Rhinolophus ferrumequinum: one gene and its partner. The protein of the gene in region 2 interacts with the protein of the main gene of each other region in a pairwise test. Links are inferred from orthologs where the notes say so. Each region holds a gene or a part of one and is shown on either strand. Other genes may lie near its edges.

What was found.
Region 1: the proteins of SMURF1 (region 2) and WFS1 interact in binary tests that used the Homo sapiens proteins (3 or more experiments, as listed by UniProt). The link is inferred for Rhinolophus ferrumequinum from reciprocal best matches to the Homo sapiens genes SMURF1 and WFS1.

The regions. Positions count from the first base shown.
Region 1 is NC_046288.1:84,124,173-84,135,623, reverse strand, and holds the start of WFS1 (wolframin), read right to left. Parts: upstream 6,034-11,451; 5' UTR 5,872-6,033; intron 690-5,871; 5' UTR 689-689; coding exon 466-688; intron 1-465. UniProt on the Homo sapiens protein: Participates in the regulation of cellular Ca(2+) homeostasis, at least partly, by modulating the filling state of the endoplasmic reticulum Ca(2+) store.
Region 2 is NC_046307.1:6,350,960-6,362,269, forward strand, and holds the start of SMURF1 (E3 ubiquitin-protein ligase SMURF1), read right to left. Parts: upstream 4,987-11,310; 5' UTR 4,920-4,986; coding exon 4,865-4,919; intron 1-4,864. UniProt on the Homo sapiens protein: E3 ubiquitin-protein ligase that acts as a negative regulator of BMP signaling pathway. Mediates ubiquitination and degradation of SMAD1 and SMAD5, 2 receptor-regulated SMADs specific for the BMP pathway.

The DNA of each region.
Region 1 (11,451 bases), on a different chromosome or scaffold from region 2:
AGCCCAGCCTGGGGATGGAAGACAGTGGTTCAGAGGGCAGCAGAGACCTGGGCCTGGCAGCTGGCCCGGAGGGAAGTGGCCACTTGGGGCCCCCAGAGCAAGCAGAGTTGCCTGACCAAATGGCCCCTGAGGAGTGGCCATGGTGGACAGGAGATGACACAGGCTTCCTGAGCGCAGGGCGGAACCAGAGCTGCGTGAGGGGAGGCCTTGCTGTCCCTTCACAGGACCTGGTAGAACTGCCCACCAGCCCTGAGTGTGAGCTGGTCGGAGCTAGAGCCATCTGATTATAAGTGAAGCAAGGACCTTGGGGGCGAGGCCCTCCGTGCAGGGTGGAGCAGGTAGTGCTGAGCCGCAGGGCACGCCCGCAGGAGGACCACGTGGCAAGACGCGGGTATTCGCCCTGCCCCCCAGGATAGCCCTGGCCTGGGCCAAGGACAGTTGGCCCCCCAGGCCCTGTCCCCTTACCCGTTCCATCCACTCTTTCTCGGCTTCTGGCACGTGGGGCCTGGGGCACCGCTGGGGCAGCTGTGTCTCCCACGTCTGCTCCAGGTCCAACGTGGGGTCCGGGAGCTTGGGGTGCCCCACTCTTCTCCTGCTCCAGGGAGGCAGTGGCGTTGAGCCGGGAGCGGGCTTGGGGCTGCGGTGGTGGTGGAGGCTGTGTGCTCGCAGAAGGCGCGCTGGAGTCCATCCTGCGGTGAGAAAAGCTGCCGGTCAGACGCCCCAGCCCCGGCCAAGCCCGCCTGCTTGGCCTCTAGTTTTTGGGAAGGCGAGGGGACTGCAAAGCGCAACAGGGCGGGGGCTGCCCAGCATTCTCTGTGTGATCTCATTCAACCTCACAGCAGCGCCCGCAATTTCTTCCCCATGTTACAGACGGAAATCGAGGGGGGAATCGCATTCAGGGCCATCCGGCTCAGCAGGCCCAGCAGGCAGCAGCTCGGGCCGTCACGTCTGAGGCCTCGAGTCCCTGCCTCTTATCTGAGCAGCGGGGAGGACGGGCTGCAGTGAGGGTCAGCAAGGTGTCGCACATGCAGAGCCCTGAGCACCCTGCCTGGCTGTGCCGGGCTGCGTGGCGGCCTCCACATGGCAAGTCTACCCCAAATCTGGAGGGTGACCTGATTTGGAAAAGGGGGGCTTTGCTGATGTAATTCAAGATCTTGAAATGAGATCATCCTGGGTTAGGTCACTGGTGTCCTTAAAAGAGGAGGGAGACACACAGAGACCCAGAGAGGAGAAGGCGGAACGAAGGCAGAGACTAGAGGGCGGTAGCTACAACCCAAGGACCACCAGACACCAGAAGCTGGAGAGAGGCCAGGGAGGGCGTACCCCCGGAACCCCCCAGACGGAGCAGAAGGGGACGACCACAGTGGTGGGGGCCGGATGTAGTCAGATCTGCCCAATTCCAAAGCCCTCCACACCGGGCTGGAACCACAGGACCAAAGCTCAGAAGGCGAATGTTACCAGATACTAGAACCGAAAAGCAGCGATGTAACCGTGTACTGGTGTCTCGGGACAGAGGCGGGAACAGGCTAGAGCATGCAGGTTCTCTGACCGTCTCATGACCAGGGGAAAGGGCTCCATTCGCCAACAAAGGGGCTGTACGTGCTGTTTAACAACCCACTGACGCAGTAGGGCAGCCACGGTCGCAGGCTCTGGGCTGAAAGCTGAACCTGAGTGCGGTTGGGCTTCGGGGGACACAAGCCCCCGACATTGTCGGGACCACGTGTGCCCTGTGTGGGGATGCTGTGAGGCTCTTCCTCGGATTCCTAAAGGATCCCGTGACTCTCTCCAGACTCAAGGCCACGTCCTTCCTCCTCAATGAGACGGGGACACTGAGTGAGAGCAGGGAGAGGCTGGTCCCAAACCTAACCTGACAGACCCTGCCCGTGGCTCTGTCCCCACCAGCTGTGTGGTCCTGAGTAGGTCATGGCCCTCTCTGCACCCCAGTCTCCTCAACTGAAAATCGGGACAATTGCCCCACACTCGGGGGCACTGTGAGGACTAGAGACCACGAGGGGCATGAGAGGGGTGAGGGTCCCAGACATCTACGCACACCCAGCTCCACGCACCCAGCCTGCTGGATGGGGTAGGTGCCTGACACACGTTTCTGACGACTGCTGTCACAGGAAGAGGGAGGTGGCCCCAGGCACCAGACATGAGTTCCAGGAGTACCCAACTACGTCTATCCTGTCGCCAGCTACAAGTGGGTCTCAAACATCTGAGCTGTGTCCCAAAGAACACTGGAGATTTCAATCTGGACGTTCCTTCCTCAGAGGGACTGAGCCCCCCCGGGTGCAAAACAAAAGCACAGCCCAGTCACGTGACTGCCTGGAAATCAAAGCAGTGCTCGGTGCTGCTTCCAAACTCCAGGCTTCTGGGAACCAAACAAACAGGCCACTTCTGCAAAACTCCTCTTTAGCTGCGTGAAGATGAAAGTGAGCACACAGCCGCTGTGGGCAAGAAGTCAGCAGTGACTTGGCATACGCCACCCGGGCACAGGCAAGTCAGCGGCCAACCTGAGATGGCAAAAAAAGGCAGGACTTCGAACCATGGGGGCCCCATCCTACCTTGCCATCTCCAGTGGCTCCCACTGCCCCCAGACTCAAGTGCCACCTTCCTGGAATGGCAGAGGGCAGCTTGCCTGAATGGGGGCTGACTTAGGCCAGAGCGCCTAGGTCACTCATAACGAGGACAAACATGTTCCCAGCACTTCCCACAGATTTTCCCGGGGTTCCGCATTTGGCTTGCCAGGTAGGTAGTATTATCCTGGTGTTGTAGCTGGCTTATCTTTCACTCCATTTCACAGACAAGGAAACCCTGGACCAGGAAGGAGAGATTCATGCTCAAGGCCACACAGCTCCGTGTAGGAGCTGGAATTCCAATCCATAAAAACCCCGTGAGTTCCTGAAAAAGGAGTCTCTCAAGGACGGGGCCCCGCAGGCCTCTGCAACCCGACCCCCACTACACCTCCTCGTCCCTGGCCCACTCACTCCCAAAACGTGCTGTCCCTCCACGTCCACGTGCAACTGCTGACCGCCACACCTGTCTCTTGCAGAGGCCTCTTCCTGGAGTCCGTCACAGCTGTCCTTTCCAGCACCGACCGTCCGGAGAGGGCAGTTATGACTGCTACTGTCCCCCCACATGGTGGTGCTACACTATACAGCTGTTAACCGTGAGCTTGCGTATGAATGTTTAAAGACAAGGAAACTGTGTGTGTAACACTGGTAAGCAGGGTTTAAAGCAGCATGACATATTAGCTCCAATCTATTTGGGATGAAAACAAAGTTTAACTGCAGAAAGAGATGGAAGAAAATGGCTCCAAAATGGTAATACTGACTATCTCTGGGTAGAGGGACGGGTGGTTTTATTTTATTCCTTTTCTAAATGTATTTCCCTAATTTTCTATAATGAATGTGCAAGGTTCTTGGAATTACAACAAAATGTTAAAAAGCCATCTGTGACCAATCCCTAAGGGAGCAGGCCCAGGGGTTCCCAAGGGCTGCTCCTCAAGACAAGGGCACAAGGACCTTGGAGGCTCCCAGGTACCTATTTTTGCCCCAGAGTATTAACGGCCAGACTGAGGAACATTCTGGCTCTCCCCAAGTGCCAAGTTCACAGGAACAAAGCGCGAGTCAAGTTGGGAATGCCCCAGGCATTGATCATGGCCAGCCAGTGTCTCCCCAGTGGCCGAGCTCCCACTGTACACCTGGCACCTGCTCTGTGCAGGACCTCCCTGCCCACAGGGGACTCCTAGGGCCAGCCTTTGAGAACTCAGTCTGGATGGGAAGAACAACACCCGGACAGACCTGAGGCTGCAAGCACAGAACGGAGGCCTCCTCGCTGAGCTGTGGGAAAGGGGCAGGGGAAGGATTCTGGAAGAAAGGCCTGACTAAGCCTTCAGGAGCAGAAGGTTAGAGCCAGGCGAGGGTGGACAGGGAGGAAAGGAGGTGTGTAGGCATTCCAGCAGGGACTGCCCCAGAGAAATGGCAGCAGAGGGAGATGGAGCCAGCAGTGGGGCCAGCAAGGAGCAGGAGGCGAAGAAGTGACCTCGAGGGAGGGGACACAGCAATGAGAAAAGAGGCTGAGTGGTGTCGGGGGCAGGTCCCGAGGGCCTGAACCAGTGCAGGCTTAGCACCAAAAGGAGGTGCAGGATGGTGGTACACAGGGAAATGGCAGTTAAAGAACCATCAGGGCTGTGTGGGGACATGACGGGGGACCACGGAAGGGGCTGGGTGGCCATCCAGGGAAAGGGGAGGCCTGGCCAGCGCAGGCATGTGAACACAGCTCTGGAGCCAGGAGGGACAGGAGCGTCACCAACGGACTATGAGGAGTGGGGAAGAAGAGGGTGGCTGGGTTTGCTAGGGGCCATGGTGGTGGTGCCACTTTCTGAGGTGGGCACGTGGGAGAGGAGAGGGACTCGTACAAAGCATAAAATTCCTTCTCCATGAGGGTGTGTTTTATGGACACCGTCGGGGACCAGGGCTTGCTCTCTGTCCTCTGTCCTGCAGCACAGGCATTCCGGTGTGCCAGGACTGGGGGGTTCCCCTCTGTGACCAGTCCGTAAGGCCTGCAAGGGGCGGTGGAGGCCTGAGAGGGGAGCCCGGCCACATACTCTTCCATCCTGGGAAGGAAGGTGAGGTGTGGTCTCCCAGCAACCTTTTCTGTGTGCAGTCAAAGGTCCATCGGCACAAAAGAACCTCTATCAAAATCCCTGGTCAGACGCTGAGGGTCTCTCATGAGAATCACAGGAGGGGACACTGGCAAGTGTGGCTTCTGGGCTTCCAGCACAGCTCCCCCCCCCCCCCCCCCCCCCCGGGGCTGCCGGGAGGTCAGGCGGCCAGCGCCCAGGGCAGTGATGGATCCCTGCAGAAGGGAAAGCCCTTTATAAATGGGCTGAACGCCAAGGGTCACTGTCCAAGGTAAGGAGAGGTGGGGCTGCTGCTTGCCTGCGCAGGTCACCAAACCCCAGCATGCCTCATCTTCCTCATGTGAAATGGGGTGACAATTCCTACCCCAAAGGCGACTAAAAGGATTAAATATCGCACAAATGTTAATTCCTTGGAATTTCTTAACATCAACTACCAAAAATAGGTGGAGGACGCCCCATCACGCCCAAAAGGGGTGGGTCAGATTCCCCAGAAAAATTCCATCTGTCAAAACAGAAATTAACGTTCCCGAGGGCCCAGGTTTACATCAGCCAGGGTGTAGGGGCTGCCATTACCCCCAATCCCCCACCCCCCAGGAGGAGCCCCAGGGGGAAGGTTACTGCCACACAGATTCTAAGTGGGCTGCGAGCTCTGCAGCCTGATCCAGAGGCTGCCACTCAGGCGAGCCTGGTCCCCACTGGGCGACTGAACCCCCATTACCCACCAGCCCCCACCTGGGGGCCCAGGCGCCTTCCAGCAGGCACTGAGGGCGGCCCTGGGTCCCGCCGAGAGCCGCGGGGGAAGGGCCATGACGGGGCAACTCGGGACCGTTGCTATGAGGAGGGGGCGCCCCTTGCCACACACCGGGCCCCTCGCGCCACAAGCCGCCTTCCTGTCGGGTCTGTTTTCCACCCGCAAGGGGGTTTCGTGGAGAGACTCACGAGTGTTAACAGTGGTCGGGGCGCGAGTGCCCCAGGGCTCTGGAGCCGAGGGGGCGCTCACCCCCGAGGAAGACCCCATCCAGATATCGGTCACCGTGAGGTCGCGGAGCGGGCGGGATCCTGGCCCTCCAACTTCTGGGGAACTTTCAGGGTGGGATGGGGCGTTGGGACGAGCTGCTCATCCGCTCATATGGGGAAACTGAGGCCCGAGGCGGGCGGCGCCTCCCGGCGCTCCCGGGACTCTTTCCCGTCCCCCGCACGGCCGTCCCCTGTCCCTAAGTACTCACTCGCCTCTGAGCGGGCCGCACGCCCTCGGGCCTCCCGGATCGCCGCAAAGTTGCTCTGGAGGAGAAGGATTCGCCGGGGCGGAAGGGAAGCGGGACAAGAGGGAGACGCTGGCTGTAGCTGGAGCCGGCGAGTGAGGCCCACAGACTCGGCCCGGAGTACGCGGCGCCGGCTCTGCCCACTGAGCGGCCAGCACGCCTGCCAATCACTGTGCACCTCCGCCAATCACGGCGCGCCTCGCCAGGCTGCCGCCGACATTTCCCGGGCGCCGCCGGGCAGAGGGCGCCGGAGGGGCGGGTCCAACAGGGAAAGTTTCTGAGCGGACTCGGACCCCAGCCCCGCCCCATCATGGCCCGGCCCCGCCCCGTTGGGCTGGCCAAGGCCCGGCCCTGACCCGGCCAGCAGGCTTCGTGTTCCTTCGCGAGACGTATGGTCTCTGTAACAGGTGGTTGGACCCTTGGACAAAACTCGGGCCACCTTCTACCCACCACTCTGGCCCCCGACTGCAGAGTCATTATACTTGCTATTGCAGTAGTAACAGATTGAGCGCGTACTATGCGCCAGGTGCCTGAATTCCAGCGTGGCCAGTGAGAGCTGGCTCCCGGATACAACAGCAGAGACAGAAAACTGTGGCCCATTTAAAAGTGTACATGTAGCCAATGCTGCTTTAAATGCACGAAATCAAATGAACGTAGCACACTTTTCACAAGGTGATTGTGGGATGCGTTTAGGACTGTGTATTAGCCCAGGGAGTGACACAAGGCTCAGGCAGTTTGCAAACCCTCTTCTTTGGCCTTGTCCAGAGTCTGAGAGCTGTGGTTTGGAGATGAAGGCAAAGGTCTATCCCCCAGACTGTGGGGCCCTTGCCAATGTCACCGGGGCCCCTGGGCTGTGTCTGCTCCATGTGTGGTCCTCATAACCATCCTGTGATACCTGTCCTGTGTTATCACTGCAGAAACTGAGGCTCAGAGTGGTTGCCAGAGATATGTTACCAGCATGTTGGGAGCAAAGATTCCAGATGATTTTGGAGATGAGTTCCATCCACTGAACACATGACCCCGGGACTTTAATCAAAGCTGCACAGTTTACATTAATCACCTCATTTAATTCTCCACCTCACCCCCTCCTATCTTCTTATCTAACACGGTGAGGCTCACAGAGGAAGGAAGGAAACCAGTACTGACCAGCATGCTGCCCTGTCCCAGGTTCAGTGTGGGGGGCTCCCACACATCGAGGGTTTTCATTTCACCCCGAACAACCCAGTGAGGCAGGTGGCCTTGGCTCATTTTTATTGATGAGAAAATTGAAGTTCAGACATAGACAGTTATTTGCACAAAGTCACACAGAATTCTTTCCAAACCTTATACTCATTACAGAAAATTTGGATAATTACAAAAAGTAGAAACAAGAAAAAATTACTCAAAGACTATTACTGTTCACTTTTTGGGGTTTCTGCATATTTAAGAAAGGGTTTCCAAAAGTCGCTGTGATTACACTGTGTGTGTATTGTGTACATGTGTGACTATTTCATCAGGACAAAGTCACCACGATCTAAACGTGTACTTGTGAGGTCAAGTCCTAGAAATGGAAGCATTGGATCCTGACAGGCTTTTTCAGATCTAAAGATACATTTTGCCAAAGCAAGGTTCTCCAAGTTGTTTCCAGTTCACCTCTGAGGGGTATGGGGAATTACCTTAAAAAACAAAACAAAACAAACAAAAAAACAAAAAACCCTTTTCTAATATAACTGAAAAATCATCTTTCTGCTATTGTAATTTTCATTTCCATGGTCACTAATGAGGTTGTACATTTCCTGTTTGTTATTTTTGAGAAGCATCTGCTCTCTCATTTGTCTATTGGGAACTTAGAGGCTCTTTGAAAACCAACTAGATGAGTTTCTTGTATTTCCAACCTGCCCACCATTATGGCCCATCCTCCTTCAACTTGGAGGACTGGGCCTACCTGAATGGCTTCTGCGACAGACCATCCCTGGGAACCAGCCACCGTCCTCACATCTGTGAGGCTACAAGCAGAGAAATCTCCTCCTGCAGCATTTAGCCCAGGAGACCACGATGGCCTTGTCTTTACAGCCTAAACACACATGACAGAGAGGCCACGATGCTCCCCAAACCTTTTCAGGGTACTCAATAAGCAGAGGGAAGCGGACAGATTGAACAATTTCTCCTGGGGAGGGCTAAGGAAAGAGAAAAATGAACTTTAATAAAAATGTACGAGACTGCTTCAGGAGCCTCAGTCAGATCGTAGACACATTTAACACACTCCACAGAACTAAAAATTTTTAAAAGTCCTGAGCAAATTCAGAAGAAGAACTGTCAGGCAAGGAAAATGACAAAACTGGAAGATAACGTGGAGGAAAAAATCCACGAAAATCGTCAGGAAGAAAATGCGAGGCTTGCAGGACAGTTCCAGGAGGCACAGAGTGCAGAGCTCCAAAGGACCTGGAGGGGAACAGAAATAAAAGAAATACTAGAAGAAAATACCTGTGACCTGAAACTATCCTGTGAAGTCTCCGACTCCAAGGATAAGGAGAGGCTTGCAGAGTTCCAGAAAGAACCAGTCACGTATAAAGGCAGGAATCAGAGAGGAACCAGATTTCTAGGAGCCTTTGCAACCACGTCCAGGGACTCTGACAATCTGATCAAAGGGCCTTTCCCCACTACGATGGAACTCATGTATCAGAGCAAAAGAAAGAACATATTGACATGGCAAGATGCAGAAAGGGCCCCGGCCTCGTTCCCTTTCACCCACGGAAGTTCCAGTCTCACCAAGATAGTTCAATCACAGTGGAGATCTCGAGATAGAGCAGATGTGGAGCACAGGAAATGGTGGTGAGAAGTGACCCTTGCAAAATACGTGGTTTAATCTAAATACGCCTGGGATTTTGTACAGTAATTGCTAAGTAAGGATTCTTGAAATATACACCACGTACTGTACGGGGAACCTGTATTCACCTGGAAGTAAAAAAACAGAATCCATCTTAGCAAACCCAGGAGTTGAGTGGACAAGTCAGAACATTCTAAGATCACATCTGGTTGAAGGGAGAAGGAGGAAGTGCAAGGTTCTGCTTTAGTGCCTGCGGGTGGGAGCGTGAGAAAGGAAAATCCTGGGGTGGTGGCTGGAGGCCATCGTTTCCATTTACTTTTAATACATTAACGGGGATGAATACATTAATACATACCGGTTTACTCATGCTCCTTCTATCTTCCTCCCCCGCCCTCTGCCAGTGGCTCCCCCCTCCTTTCCTGTGTTCCTTCATAAACCTGAGCTCACAGCCCACTCTGCCATCTTCTTGGAATTGCAACAGAAGTGGCTGGAGTTCTAACGGAGGCCTCGGTGCGGTCACACGGCTCTGTGTCACCAGGGCTGGGTGCCACATCAGCGGCATCTCTGCTCCACTCACCCAAGCCCGCCTGTATCTCCACACCCCCACATGTGCACCCACACACACTGCATTCCTGCTGAGGAGCTCTGAGCCCCTCCATGAGGCTGAGTGGTCACGTACGCATCTCTGAAGGCACAAAATTAATGCTACTTCAGGGTCTTGCGATGAGTCACCAAGTATATCTGGAAGTTTCTTATGGGGAAAGAGAACATTGAGGGTGTGAAGGTGACTCTGAGGCAGAAGGACAAATGCCCACACAGGGGACAGCCACTGTTCTGACCTCCCCCGTGTCCCCAACCACCCACTGACACTAGTCACTTGTCATTAGTGGGGGTTCTCCAGAGAAACATAACCAATGGGACATTGGGAGAGCTACAGAATGAGACTGATTGTGAGGAAGAGGCTGATATAATCATGGAGACCGAGAAGGCCATGATCTGCCATCTGTCAGCTGGAGGCACAGGACAGCTGGTGATGCAGCCCGGTCCTAGTGCGAAGGCCCGAGACCCAGGGGCACCGACGTCCAAGGGCGGGAGGGGATGGATCCCCCAGTTCAAGCAAAGAACACACTTGCCTTCTGGCTTTTTGGTTCTATTCAGCCCTGCAGGGACTGGATGATGTCTCCACTTTGGGGAGAGCCATCCCGACTACTCAGTCCTGACTCAAATGCTAATCTCTCTTGGAGACACCCTCACACACTCAGAAGTAATGCTTTACCAGCTATCTGGAGACCCTTAGCCCAGCCAAGTTGCAACAGGAGCCACTGATGGCTTGGCCAACAGGCCACAGGGTTCTGTGTCACCAGGGCTGGACACAGTGACATTTGCTGAGCATGTCCATTGTTCAACACTGCATATCTGTCATTTGATGCCATGTCTATCTTATAAATGTCAGTCATCAACAGGGTGCAGGAAAAATGTTCACTAAAACACCTACTGTGCTCTCCCTCACTGGCCTCCCTAGGTACCACGGCAAGAGATGGAAACACCCATCCTTGCCCTGGAGGGGCTAATGGCTAATTTGGTTCAGAGGCTGGAAACACCAGCCACCTGGTAGGGAGCAGGAATGGCATAACCATGGAGAAGCCATGCCAGCCTGCAGGTTCCTGGCAGGGGGAGAAATTGCCACTGGCTTCTGTAGTCGGGGAAGGCTCCCTGGAGGAAGTGCTGACTTCACTTTTTTCTCCTCTCCTCCTCCCTCTCCTCTTCTTCCTCCTCCTTTTTCTTATTTTAATAGACTTTATTTCCTAGAGCAATTTTTGGTTCACAGCAAAACTGAGCAGAAAGTACAGAGATTTCCCACGTACCCCCTGCCCCCCAATTTCCCACGTCCCCCCTGCCCCCCTTCCCACTACCAACACCCCCCCCCCCAGATGGTACACTTGCTACAATTAATGAACCTCCATGGACACATCGTTATCAGCCAGAGTCCATAGTTTACACGAGGGTTCACTCTCGGTGTGCATTCTGTGGGTTTGGACAAGTGTGTAATGACACGCATCCCACAGAGTCGTGTCACTGCCCTAAACATCCCTTGTGCTCCATCTATTCCTCCAGGTCTTTCCACGCCTTGCTAGCTCATCTCGCGTTCGTGCCGTGACTTTCTACTGTGTGGCTGGACCACCGTTTATTTCCTCATCACCTGCTGAAGCACCGAGGAGGTGCTGACCTCACACCCGATACCTGAGCATGGCTGGGGGCCGTCAGGGAAGTCTGGCTGAGGCGGCTCAGGGACTCTCTGAGGGTCACCGCAGCATAGCCCTGTCCCCTATGGGTGGTTGGGCAGGTCTGTGAGCTGCGGATGGGGAGGAGGCCAGCACAGTGCCAGCGCACAGTGGGACTAGTGGATGCTGGTTCCCTCCATCACACCAGCAACCACCTCCACTGTTTACTGAACGGTCACTACCCTTGGTGGCTCATTAGATCCCCACAACGACTCTGGGAGGCACGTTATCCCCAAGTTACAGGTGGGGCGTCAGCGGCTCTGAGAGGTTAAGGATGTGCCCGGGGTCATGCTGTGACACCGCTTTCATCGGACTGTTCTTGGTCCCTGCTGCTATGCCACACCACCCACAGACCCATGTCTAAAACCCAACCAGCTTACCGAGCTGGGGATTCAGGTGGCTCTGAAAAGAATTGTGACACTGAAGTCCTCTTTTACACAAACACCCCCAGGGCTC
Region 2 (11,310 bases):
CCAACACAGCCCAGCAGCTCTTCTTTGACTCGAGTGGCCTTAGGGACTGGTCAACTGGAGTCAGAGTGTCGTGGACAAGAAGCCAATTTAAGTTTGGGGTTTCTCTCAATAAAATTCATCTACAACAAGCAAACCAGTAATTTAAGTTGTTCAGTGACCTCAAAACACACATTTTTTTCATTCTCTATTTGTTGAAAAATATTTAACCTCTAAAATGGTTTTGAAATTTGATCCAAATAAGAATCCTAAAAGTTAGGGTTTCTCAACTAGAAAATACCAAATTATTTCATCCATTTCGGAAGGTCTTTTGAACGTCCCTTTCAGCACTCACTAAAATGCACAAGTCAGCTATTTTAACTTTTAACCAGTGCCCACAAATGTGTTACACAACAACCAGCCTAGTTAACTGGATCATTGAGCTGATGTTGAAATATTATGGGTGAGTCTTTTATTATTATTATTCATGAGGAAATACATTTTGAAGAAGTAACTCAGCCCCCAGAACCTCCCTGGGTTACCCGATGTTCCACACTAGATAGAACCTGACAAGATGACCAAACAGAAAAAATGAAAATTTGTAAGAGAAGGAAAACCTCGAAGTCCAGACACCACTCTGATGGTCGCAAAAATAGGAGTTTTGAACTTTGACAAATAAATAGACTTGAAGTTAAAAATTGTAATTTGATAAATTAGAACTACCGTAAAAATACAGACAGAAGTAAAGTATATATTTCATTTCTCAAATCTGTTAGGTGAGTCAAGAAAAGTAAAAAGAATGAAAATGGATTTTTAAAAAAGGGTTTTCTAAAGACAACACAAATGTGATCAAATCACAAATGAAATCAATAATAGAACCTGTATTTGGCAGTATATGACTCCTTTTAAAGTATAATTGTAGTTTAAGTTTTGTAGTAGTATTTGATTGAACCCATCCCACATCCTTAGATAATTCAGCTCAAAGAAGTGTCTCGACAGTACCTCATAAACTTGAGGCCAACCCTGAGGAAAACACACAAACTCATGCGTAGCACATGAAACTCCATCTTATCTGAGTTAGTTGGTAAAAGTTTCTCCTGCCTTACATAGGGAGGTTCTTTACTAGGAGAAACTGACAAAGGCAACACTCTTAATAGATTTATCTTTTTTAAGAGAAACATAACTATTTTGAATCAATTAGGTCACCTGTTACTGATCAATGAAACTTATTAACAGTTATTACTACGACTATTTCTCTCCAAGTTGCATCATCTGAATGTCAGAACACAAGTCAGCCTCACATCATATGTGCTACAACTTTAAAAACAGCCTCCATTCCCAAATGCTACCACGGAAGGTCTCTTCCCACCCCACCCCCCACTTGGAATTAGAATTCTTCTCTCTTCACAATACATAGTCATGCTCCAAAACATATAAAAACACAAGGAGGTCTGAGAGTATTTCAAGGCATAAAAGCACAAAAAAGTTTAGTCATTTGGTGTTTCAACTAACTGGTTAACATTAGAATAAAATTTAATTTGAAGAGCACTGTGGAACACTTAGAGCTCAAAATTCCATTCTTTTACCCAAAGTGGCCTAAATAACATATCTGGGATTCATTTGTGTACCTCATAAGAACAAAGTTTTTGCAAATCCTGCTTGAATTTAAAATGAAAATGTTTCCCAAGTGTTTGATTTGCCAGTGAACTCTAAAATGTCTGCAAGATAATGCTCTTTAATAAAGATCACTCGACTTTAAACATATTATGCCCCCAAACCTACCGAAAACTTTACGAACTATTATCCTGCTAAAAAACCACAGACGTTCATTAAAATTATATTCTTTTACATATAAAGACTCAAATATTCTTTTGTTTAGGCCAGGTTTCCAAAGCAGTTCAGCATATTTTTTTTAAAAAAAAAACAACGGGGTTCCACAGGAAGGAAAAAAAAAAGAAATCATAAATGTAATCAATACACAAAAGTAATGCTTGGCATCAAACATGACTCCTGTGTTTTAACACAAATTTCTGAATATCAGGATCGAGCCCTAATAGAAAGTACAAGCACCCAACAGTAATTTGGAATAAGCCAAATTGATAGATCCTGTGAGGAGAATTAAAGAATGCTATAAAAGGAGCTGAAATCTCATTTTACATGAGGAAACTGAGACTCAGAAAGGTTATATAAGTTGTTCCATATTATGCAGTTTATGGCAGATCGGACCAAAATTGATTCTCAATCCAACGTTCTACTTACCACCAAATACAACTCTAGACCCGAAAGTTCTAAATGCTCTAACTCTAATATCCTCATATTTTGCATTGAATTACGCTGTGTGCTATTCACTAGCTAGAATAGCTCTCATTTCTACACGTCATTTGTTCAAGTATCACACGTGGAAATAGACTCTGAAACCTGTAACAACAAAAGTATACGACTTTTGAAAGATGTCCATCCAACTTGCCAGAAGTGAAGAAGATATTTCAAACTCCCCCTGGCAACATAAAGATGAAGCCAAAACCTAGCCTGTCTTCAACAAAATATCGAGCTCCAACGTTTCCACGTAAATTAACAGACAACTGGCATCACGCGTGTCGGCAGTCATCCCTAAACTCTCAGTTCTATTGCAGGGATGACCATACTCACAGATCCTCTCTTATCACCAATAACATTAGGTGGGAGAAAGGGAAAGGTGTTTCGGAAAGAACACTCATCACCTGATCCTTCACTACCAAGTGACATTAAAACTCTTTAAAGAATTTCTACATCTATGACATATAAATTCCTGAATCCAAAAATAATCTGAGAGAACAAACCAAGTCTTCCCTTTCATGAGGAAAAGCCCTATCCAGACCTGACTATTAGGATTAATACATATACACCTGACACAAACATTGTAATTAAAATCTATTCCTTCTAATACATTAATCACATTTCCACCAAAACTCACAAAATCAGTTACTTTTGCTTTTAACAAGAAAATTGAAACAAATCCGATGTCAATTATAGGTTACTTTGTAAATGAAAGCCAAATTAAAGTTGTCAGTAATTAAAGTTTTACAAGCATTGCAAAGTTAAAAATGTGGCTTTTATGTAACCATAAAAATAACAATGTATATGCATCTATAAAATGAGAAGTGTTTCCTACCAGAATAAAGGGTTATGTTTCTCTAAAAGTAAAGATCCATGGGATAGGCCTGTTACTTTCCAAAACCAGGATCTGGTTTTGGGTCTGAATCATCTGATCCGCTTATATTATCTGATCTTAACCTGATCTGACATCTTTATATATACCTAAAACAAATTATAACCCTCCTCTTGAAACAAAAGATGGATCATGCAACAACTATGGACTTTCAAAGGAAATTTTAGTTAGAAAAGAATCACCCATTGCTGTTTTCACGGATTTTACTGATGATTTAGGGCTATGCATCTGCCATGAGGTGTCCAAAACGCTCACTGTCTCTTTGAGAGGGGATCTGATTTTGGAGTCCTCACCAGACTGCCACTGAACAGAAAAATCCTGGGGAAAACCCCTTACAGGGATTAGCCTGAACTTTTTATTTCCTTTTCAGAGCTGGAAATATTCGCGTTTGGAAAGTCCCCCAGTAGAACAGTATTTGCAACACGACAATCTGGCCTCAGCTATGAATTGAAACTGGGAGACGAGCAGCCGCCCCATAATGCTGAAGAGAGAGAGAGAGAAAGGGCAGATGAGGGTGCAGACGGGTCCAGGGCCTCTGGAGCCCGCTGGCGAGGGGCACCTCCACCAGACACCGCTGGCACCTACACACATCCAAACCACCACGTCGCAGGCCCACAGCAGAGCTTCGCGCTCACCCTTGAAGGTGGCACTACAGAGCCACCTAGAAGGCACCCACATTTCATTGAGACTAAATGAGAGTGAATCAAGGAGCCTGCGCTAGAGCAGCTACCTACCATAGCCTCCAGTGTGTGGGGGGTGTGGGGAATCAACGCCCAATCCAGGCTTAAGGATGGGGGGCGGGGGGCGATGGTAAAGTGCAATGCAGAAAAGGAAAGCATGCAAGAAGCACAGTCAAGAGTAGATAGTGGCCTGGCCAGGGTGAGAAAGGAAGTGGACTAGACTGAAACGGTCTGAACCAGAGGGGAAGCGAGCAGAGACCCGGGAGAAGCTACAAGATAGGATTGAGGAATTCGAGGCTGAAGGAAAGGGTGGAGGCCCCGAGACAGAAGCAAGGGGGCGGGGCTGGGAGATAGGCGAGGGCGGGGCTAGGGAGAAAATGAGGGGCGGAGTTCAGGAGGAAAGTGAGGGGGCGAAACTAGGGGAGAAGAAAGGGGCGGGGCCAGGAGGGGAGAAGCAAGGGGGCAACAGGGTAGAGGGGAAACCAAGAGAGAGGATGGGAAAGGAGTGACAAGTGGGAGCGGGCAGGAGGGAGAAGCGAGGGGGATGGTCTGGGGAGAGACCGGGAAGCCAGAGAGGATGGGAAGGTGGTGAGAAGAGAGGGGCGGGGCCAGGAGGGAAAAGCGAGGGGGCAGGTGAGGGGAGAGGAAAGAAAGCGAGGGGAGGAGTCAGGAGGGGAGAAGCAAGGGGACACGGGGGAGGAAAAGGTGGAGAACGAGGAGGATGGAGGGGAGCAGCGAGGGGGCAGGTGGGAGGGAGGAGGGAAGCGAGAGGACGGATGGGGGGGGCTATGAAAACCGAGGGGGCGGGGCCGGGGAGAAGCGAGGGGGCGGGGCCGGAGGGAGAATCGAGGGGCACTCGCCCAGGGGGGTGATGAGGTCCTGGGACAACGGCCGGCGTGGGGGAGGGCCACTTAAGCAGGGCGCTCCGCGGGAAATTCCGGGCCGTGCGGGGTGCCAGTGGGCGCTGCGGGGGGCAGTGTGGGCCTCCCACCCGCCGTACCTGTCAGACGGATCTTGATGCTGGAGCCGTTCCTGCGCGTCCCAGGGTTCGACATCTCCCGCCAACGATCGTGCAGCCGCGGATCCAGCGCCGCCGCCCCCCGGCCCGGCCCGGCCCAGCCCCGCCGCCGCCGCCTCCTCAAGGTTACGGCTCCGGGCTGGGCGCCGGGGTCCGAGCCGGGACACAAACTCCGCAGCCCAGGCGTCCGGGCGGCGGGCGGATGGTCGAGCCGGAGGATCGGCGCTCCACCCGGCGCCCCGACCCTCGCTTGCTCCCAGACCAGTCTAGTCCGGAGCCGCCGCCTCCACCACCTCAGAGCCGGACGCTCGCCGCCCTCGCCGCTTCCGCCGCCGCCGCCGCCTCCCGGAGCCGCGCGCGCTCCCGCCGTCGTGCCGGCCCGGCCCCGCGCGCGCGCCCGAGCCGTGCGCCCCCGCGCCTGCGTGCGTGCGCGTCCCCGCGGGAGAGGCGGGGCGCGCCGCGCGGCTGCATTGCCCGCCCAGCCTCGGGCGCGCGGGGTCTGGAACCTGTGGTCTCTGCTTCCTGCACCCCCCAGGCCGGAGGCCACTTCGCTGGGATCCCGAGGAGGCGGTCGGGGCCCGGAGTCGGAGCGCGCCCCGGAACCCTGCAGCCGAGGCCGGTGCAATGGGCTGCGGGGTTGCGGAGACGAGGCCGCTGGCAGTCAGCGCCAGGGTTGCCCCGAGGCGGGCGGGCGGGACGGCGCGGCCCGCATACGGTCGCCTTCGGTTTTCGACACAGTCTGGGAGGAAACCTACTTGCAGATGCGGACGCTGAGGTTCAGAGAACCGAATTGATTTTCCAGGTTTCTGACTCAAGGCTCCGCGCTCCTGATCGTTATTGAAGTGATGGTTACATGAACCCGTGGCCTGTTACTACACCAAGCACCTTCTACAAATAGGCAATATTTTCTCTCCCTCTGTTTTGTTTTATTTTATTTTAGTTCATTTTATTTTATTTTATTTTGGGCTTTTAGATAATGCAATTTCAAGGGAGTGACTTCTCAAAGAGACAAAGTCCTCTAAATGTGTTTGGTACAAGTGCTCTGTATTGACCTGTAACAAAGTTGCCAGAATCACAGGAAATGCCACATTTGGACAAAGTGTGCAAGATTCGAAAGAAGGATAAAGTGGAGAGGGAGATGTTTGTTATTATCCAGTCTGCATAGAATTTAACCAAACAAAACAGCAGCTGTACAGCCTGTGTTTCCCTGCCTTCTGCTCACATTTCCATTCCCAGAGTTGCCGGGTAGAACTAGAAAGTTCGTGATGCTTTCTCCAACAAACCAAGTCCTCTCTTAACCTGTTATAGAGGGGAAATAATTTGCTCTTCGGAAAAGCTGGGTTAGTTTACCAAACTCATTTTTTTTTTTTTAATTGGGGAAGGCGAACAGGACTTTATTGGGGAACAGTGTGTACTTCCAGGACTTTTTTCCAAGTCAAGTTGTCCTTTCAGTCTTAGTTGTGGAGGGTGCCATTCAGCTTCAAGTTGTTGTCCTTTCAGTCTTAGTTGTGGAGGGCACAGCTCAACTCCAGGTCCAGTTGCTGTTGCTAGTTGCAGGGGGCGCAGCCCACCATCCCTTGCGAGAGTTGAGGAATCAAACTAGCAACCTTGTGGTTAAGAGGACGCACTCCAACCAACTGAACCATCCGGGAATTCAGCGGCTGCTCAGCTCAAGGTGCCGTGTTCAACCTTAGTTGCAGGGGGCAGAGCCCACCATCCCTTGCTGGACGCGAGGAATTGAACTGGCAACCTTGTGGTTGAGAGCCCACTGGCCCATGTGGGACTCGAACCGGCAGCCTTCGGAGTTAGGAGCATGGAGCTCTAACCACCTGAGCCACTGGGCTGTTCCCCAAAACTCGTTTTTTGACCAACTACCTAACTCTTTGAATGCATTTATTTGGTTTGTGTCCTAAGGAAACCATGATCTGAGCCATGGCTGCCATCCCCTGCAGCCTTGGGCCTTTTCTGAAGTCACAGTCCAAAGTAGAGCCCTCTCCCTAGAGCCCCTTGACACGTCTGCCTCTGCCTGAGCTCTGAAAGCAGTCTCCTGGGTTGGACTCCAGGGTTCTTTGAGCTTCATCAAATAGAAGGACGGGCCTATGTCATTTCTCTGCCCCACTGCAGCTCAAACTGTCAATGATTCCAGTGGAATATCCAAGAATACAAGCTATGTTTAAGTAACAGGGCAGTAGATACAGAATCCAGCTCTGTTTCTCTGAGAGTGAGTCTCGGGGTCAGAAAAAATCCATTTAGTCTCTAACGATCCAAGTAATCCCCATTCCTCTTTCATCCAGTCAGTATTTCTCCGTCTTCATTTTCCCCATACTCAATTAGTCTCTTTTTTCTAAACCAGACTAAACATCTCTATGGCCATTCTTCTGATCCCCAGCTGTTTTCCTGACCAAAAAACCTTTCATTTATTAACCTGTTTTCTTACCTGCCTAGACGTCTGGACCTTCCTTTGCTTGATTGTTTCCTCAACACCCAAGTCTGGAGGTCACTTGTGGAAGTTACTAAAAGTTATTTAGTTTACTCATTAATAAGAAATTGTCACTTAACTAGATACACCTAACAGTGTCTTTCAACACAGCCTACACAAGCAGCACCTTCCTAAATGGAAGCTAATGTTTTATTCATTAGCAAACACGGGCCACCCATTATGTGGCTAGGGGCAAGGAACACAAATAAGTCACAGCTATAGCATTTCAGAGGCTCAGCTGACTGGGTGAAACACGAAAACAACTGACAACCACACAATGATGGAAATGCGAACAGAGAGCTAGAATGTAGATTACAGGACAAGTCTGCTTGGGATCAGAGAAATGGGGGAGATCTTAGAAGAATCATGGAAGTCCTGATGTAGGGCTTAAAGGCAGTGTTTCAGTTTCTTGGGCAAAGAAGTGGGGAAGGGCATTGTAGACAGATGGAAGAGCTTGTGCAAAGGCAAGAAAATGAATGGATTTCAGTGTAAGCACGGTCACGCAGCTGCTTTATCTTCCATCTTTACACCCCACTCCATTAAAAATTGGTAGATGATGAAAGATATTTGCCCACTTAACAATCATCAGGCACGATTTTGTGCTAAGGCTGTGGGCCAGCCCGTATATTGAACTTAAGGTGTACCTCGATATCCTCTCATCCTGCATCACGTTTATCGAAAACACTATCTTCTAAAGATAGCTGGAACAAATAGTTGGGAAATGTCAAACAATTCTGAGACAGAGATGAAGTTCAGTGAGTGTCTTCAAGTATCCTTTTTGTAATGACCTTACAAAAGAGCAGTTTTGACCCTGCTTTCTATGTAGAATTTGGCAGCTGATTTTATTTCCCCCAGATGTATCACTTCCCTGAGTCAGTGCTATTGGGCATTTGAAACATTTTCCAGTGAAAAAAAAAATCTCTCTTTGGATCTGACTGCAGTCATTCTTAACCTGTTTTTTGAGTCCCAAACCTCTCGGGAGAATCTGATGGAAACAATGGACCTTTTCCCCAGAAAAACTCGTATGTGCAAATGCACACCAAATTTTGTATCTGATTTCAGTGCGTACATGATTTCCTGAAACTTGTGGCTCTCATAAGGTCTCATAGCCCCTAGGTTAAGAAGTTCTAATCTAAAGGAAATGATCAAGCAAATTACACTGGGAATGTCCTGAGTGTATTTGTTTAGGAGCCAGCACAGTTGTAGCCCCTTTTGAAAGCAACGGGTATGCTGAAAGGAGGGCAGCTGTCACCCACACAGACCCATACTACCCTGGCTCCATCATATTGCCAGAGCAAGTTAATTAAATTCTCCAAGCCTTACTTTGTTCATCCGTAAAATGGAGATAATGCCTCTCAACTCAAGTTAAAATAAATCATGGATTTAATTTAAATCTTTCGTTTAACTGAAACCATGGATTTAAATTAAACCATGAATGTAGATATAGCAGTCTATTACATCAGGCACTCAGTAAATGGTAGCTGTTAGTACATGTAAAATGTGTGTCTTTGCTCAGAAACCTGCTGGTGCTGTGACCCTGGGGAAATCTGTTTGGGGTGTTGTGCAGAAGGTCCCTGGCGGGGGGGGGGGGGGGGGGGGATGGCTGACAAATGCCTCTTGAGAGCACATTGTTGTTCCTGAGCTGGTGCCTCTGGGACCAGTGGCTAGATCACGTTAGCCTTTAAGGTCTTTTCTAGATCTAGGTCTCGTCTTCTTTTGCTTTTCACCTGAACATCAAGTTTTTCAAACCATTGGATGTACAAAATTGTGATTAATTAGCACATTTATTTATTCTTTTATGCCCAGAAGACTTCAGGATCTTCCTCTAAATTACAACCTAAACTTAATATTACCACTATGCAAGTCTTACTATACTATGACCATTGGTATGGTTTATTACTTGAGTTTTTTAATTGAAATTTTTATTGAGATAATTGTAGATTCAGGTGCAAGTTGTAAAAAATAATACAGAGGGAGCCTCGGACACTTCGCCCGGTTCCCCCCATAGTAAAAATCTGCAAAGTCGTTGTATAGTATCACAACTAGGATACAGACATTGATACAATCCAACAAAATTCAGATTTTCCCAGTTTTACTTGTACTGGTATGTGTGTTAAGTTCTATAGTCTTAACACCTGTGTAGGTTGAAGTATCCACCACCACACTCAAAATACTGAACAGTTCCAACACGATGATCCATCATGTTTATAAACACACCTTTTGCCCCACTCCCAACACCTGGCAACCACTAATCTGTCCTCCATTTCTAAAATGTTGTCAGTTAAAAAATGTTACATGGGTGGAATCATACAAAATGTAATCTTTTGGGATAGGTTTTCTCACTCAGAGTAATTCCCTGGAGATTCATCCAAGTTGTTACATGTATCAAGTTCATCAAGTTGTTATATATATATCAAATAGTTCATCATCCAAGTTGTTACATGTATCAAGTTCATCATCCAAGTTGTTACTTGCATCAAGTTCAACATCCAAGTTGTTACATGTATCGAGAGTTTGTTCCTTTTTATTACTGAGTAGTATTCCATAGTATGGATGTATCACAGTTTGCTTAACCATTCACCCTTTGAAAGACACGTGGGCTAACTCATTTTTGGCCATTACAAACAAACTACTATGAACACTCGTGTACAGGTTTTATGTGAACATAAGTTTCCCATTTCTCTGGGATAAATGCCCAAGAGTGCAACTGCTGAGTCATATTGGAAATTACATGTTTAGTTTTATAAGAAACTGCCAAACTGTTTTCCGGAGCGGCCAACACATTTTACTTTCCTACCAGCAATGTTTCTCAGCATCCTTGCCAGCATTTGGTATTGTCATTATTCTCCTTTGCCATCCTGGTAGGTGTATAGTTATTGTTTTATGGCTGTGGAATTATTTGAGGTATAGATTATTTCTTCAAATATATGCAGCCAGATAAATAGGGACAATTCTAGAAAAACAGTCTTTCTTGATGGTCTTCTTTTAAAAAACAACAACAAAAAAGTGTTTCTTTAAAGATCCTAGTTGAATCCCACAGTCTGTGTTCAAAAACAGCAAGGTCATCAGTGTAAATGAGCTGCTATTATTTTATTAAACTGCCATTATTTATTATTGCACTGCTATTATTTATTAAAAATGTAATTTTTAGAGAGTTGTTCCCACTTAGATGAGCGGTGTTTTAAACAATTGAATTGATTATCCTAATAAAAATAACTAAGACACTACTAGGAATATAATTAGCTCAACTTAAAAAAGTCAGACATGACAATTTATTGTAAATAAACAAAAGAAATGTCCAGGCTTCTGGTCTACTACAAGATTTTACAATTTTTATTGGTTCAAAAAAATAAGATAAAAATTCTCCCAATTCATTATATCTCATCTATATAGAAACAACAGTAACCAGAGAAATTAACAAAATGAAATCCCAAGTAAGACCCTGAGACATTGTTTATTGGCTAAATAGTTTTGCTCATTTTTGGACAGCATTAGAGGAAGCTCTACTATATTGTATGCCAATGGTTCTTGAAAGTGTGGTCACAGGAACAGCAGTGGTCACCTGGTTAGAAATGCAAATTCTCAGTCACCACCCCAGAGTTTTATCAGAAACAGTATGGCCAGGATGCCTGCTCTCCTAGGAATTAATGCCATCTGTCCTTTTATCTTGGGGTCACTCTCTCAAGATTGTAAGCTCTGGAAGGAGTTCCCAATTGGCTGAGTCTAGTCCAGGGTCCATGGACTGGCTGCTTGGGGACAGCGACAAGGAAAGATGAAGCCTCTTTTACTTTCATAATGGGAACTGGGGCACGGCCTCCTGCCCAAAGTATGCACAGTAGGGCTCTCTCCCTAATAGATAGAGAACAGAATAGGCCACAAATGGCTAATGTCTGCCTCAGAAATGTGATGGGGGAAGGAGGGCAGCAGATTAACATTCCCTATAATTTGA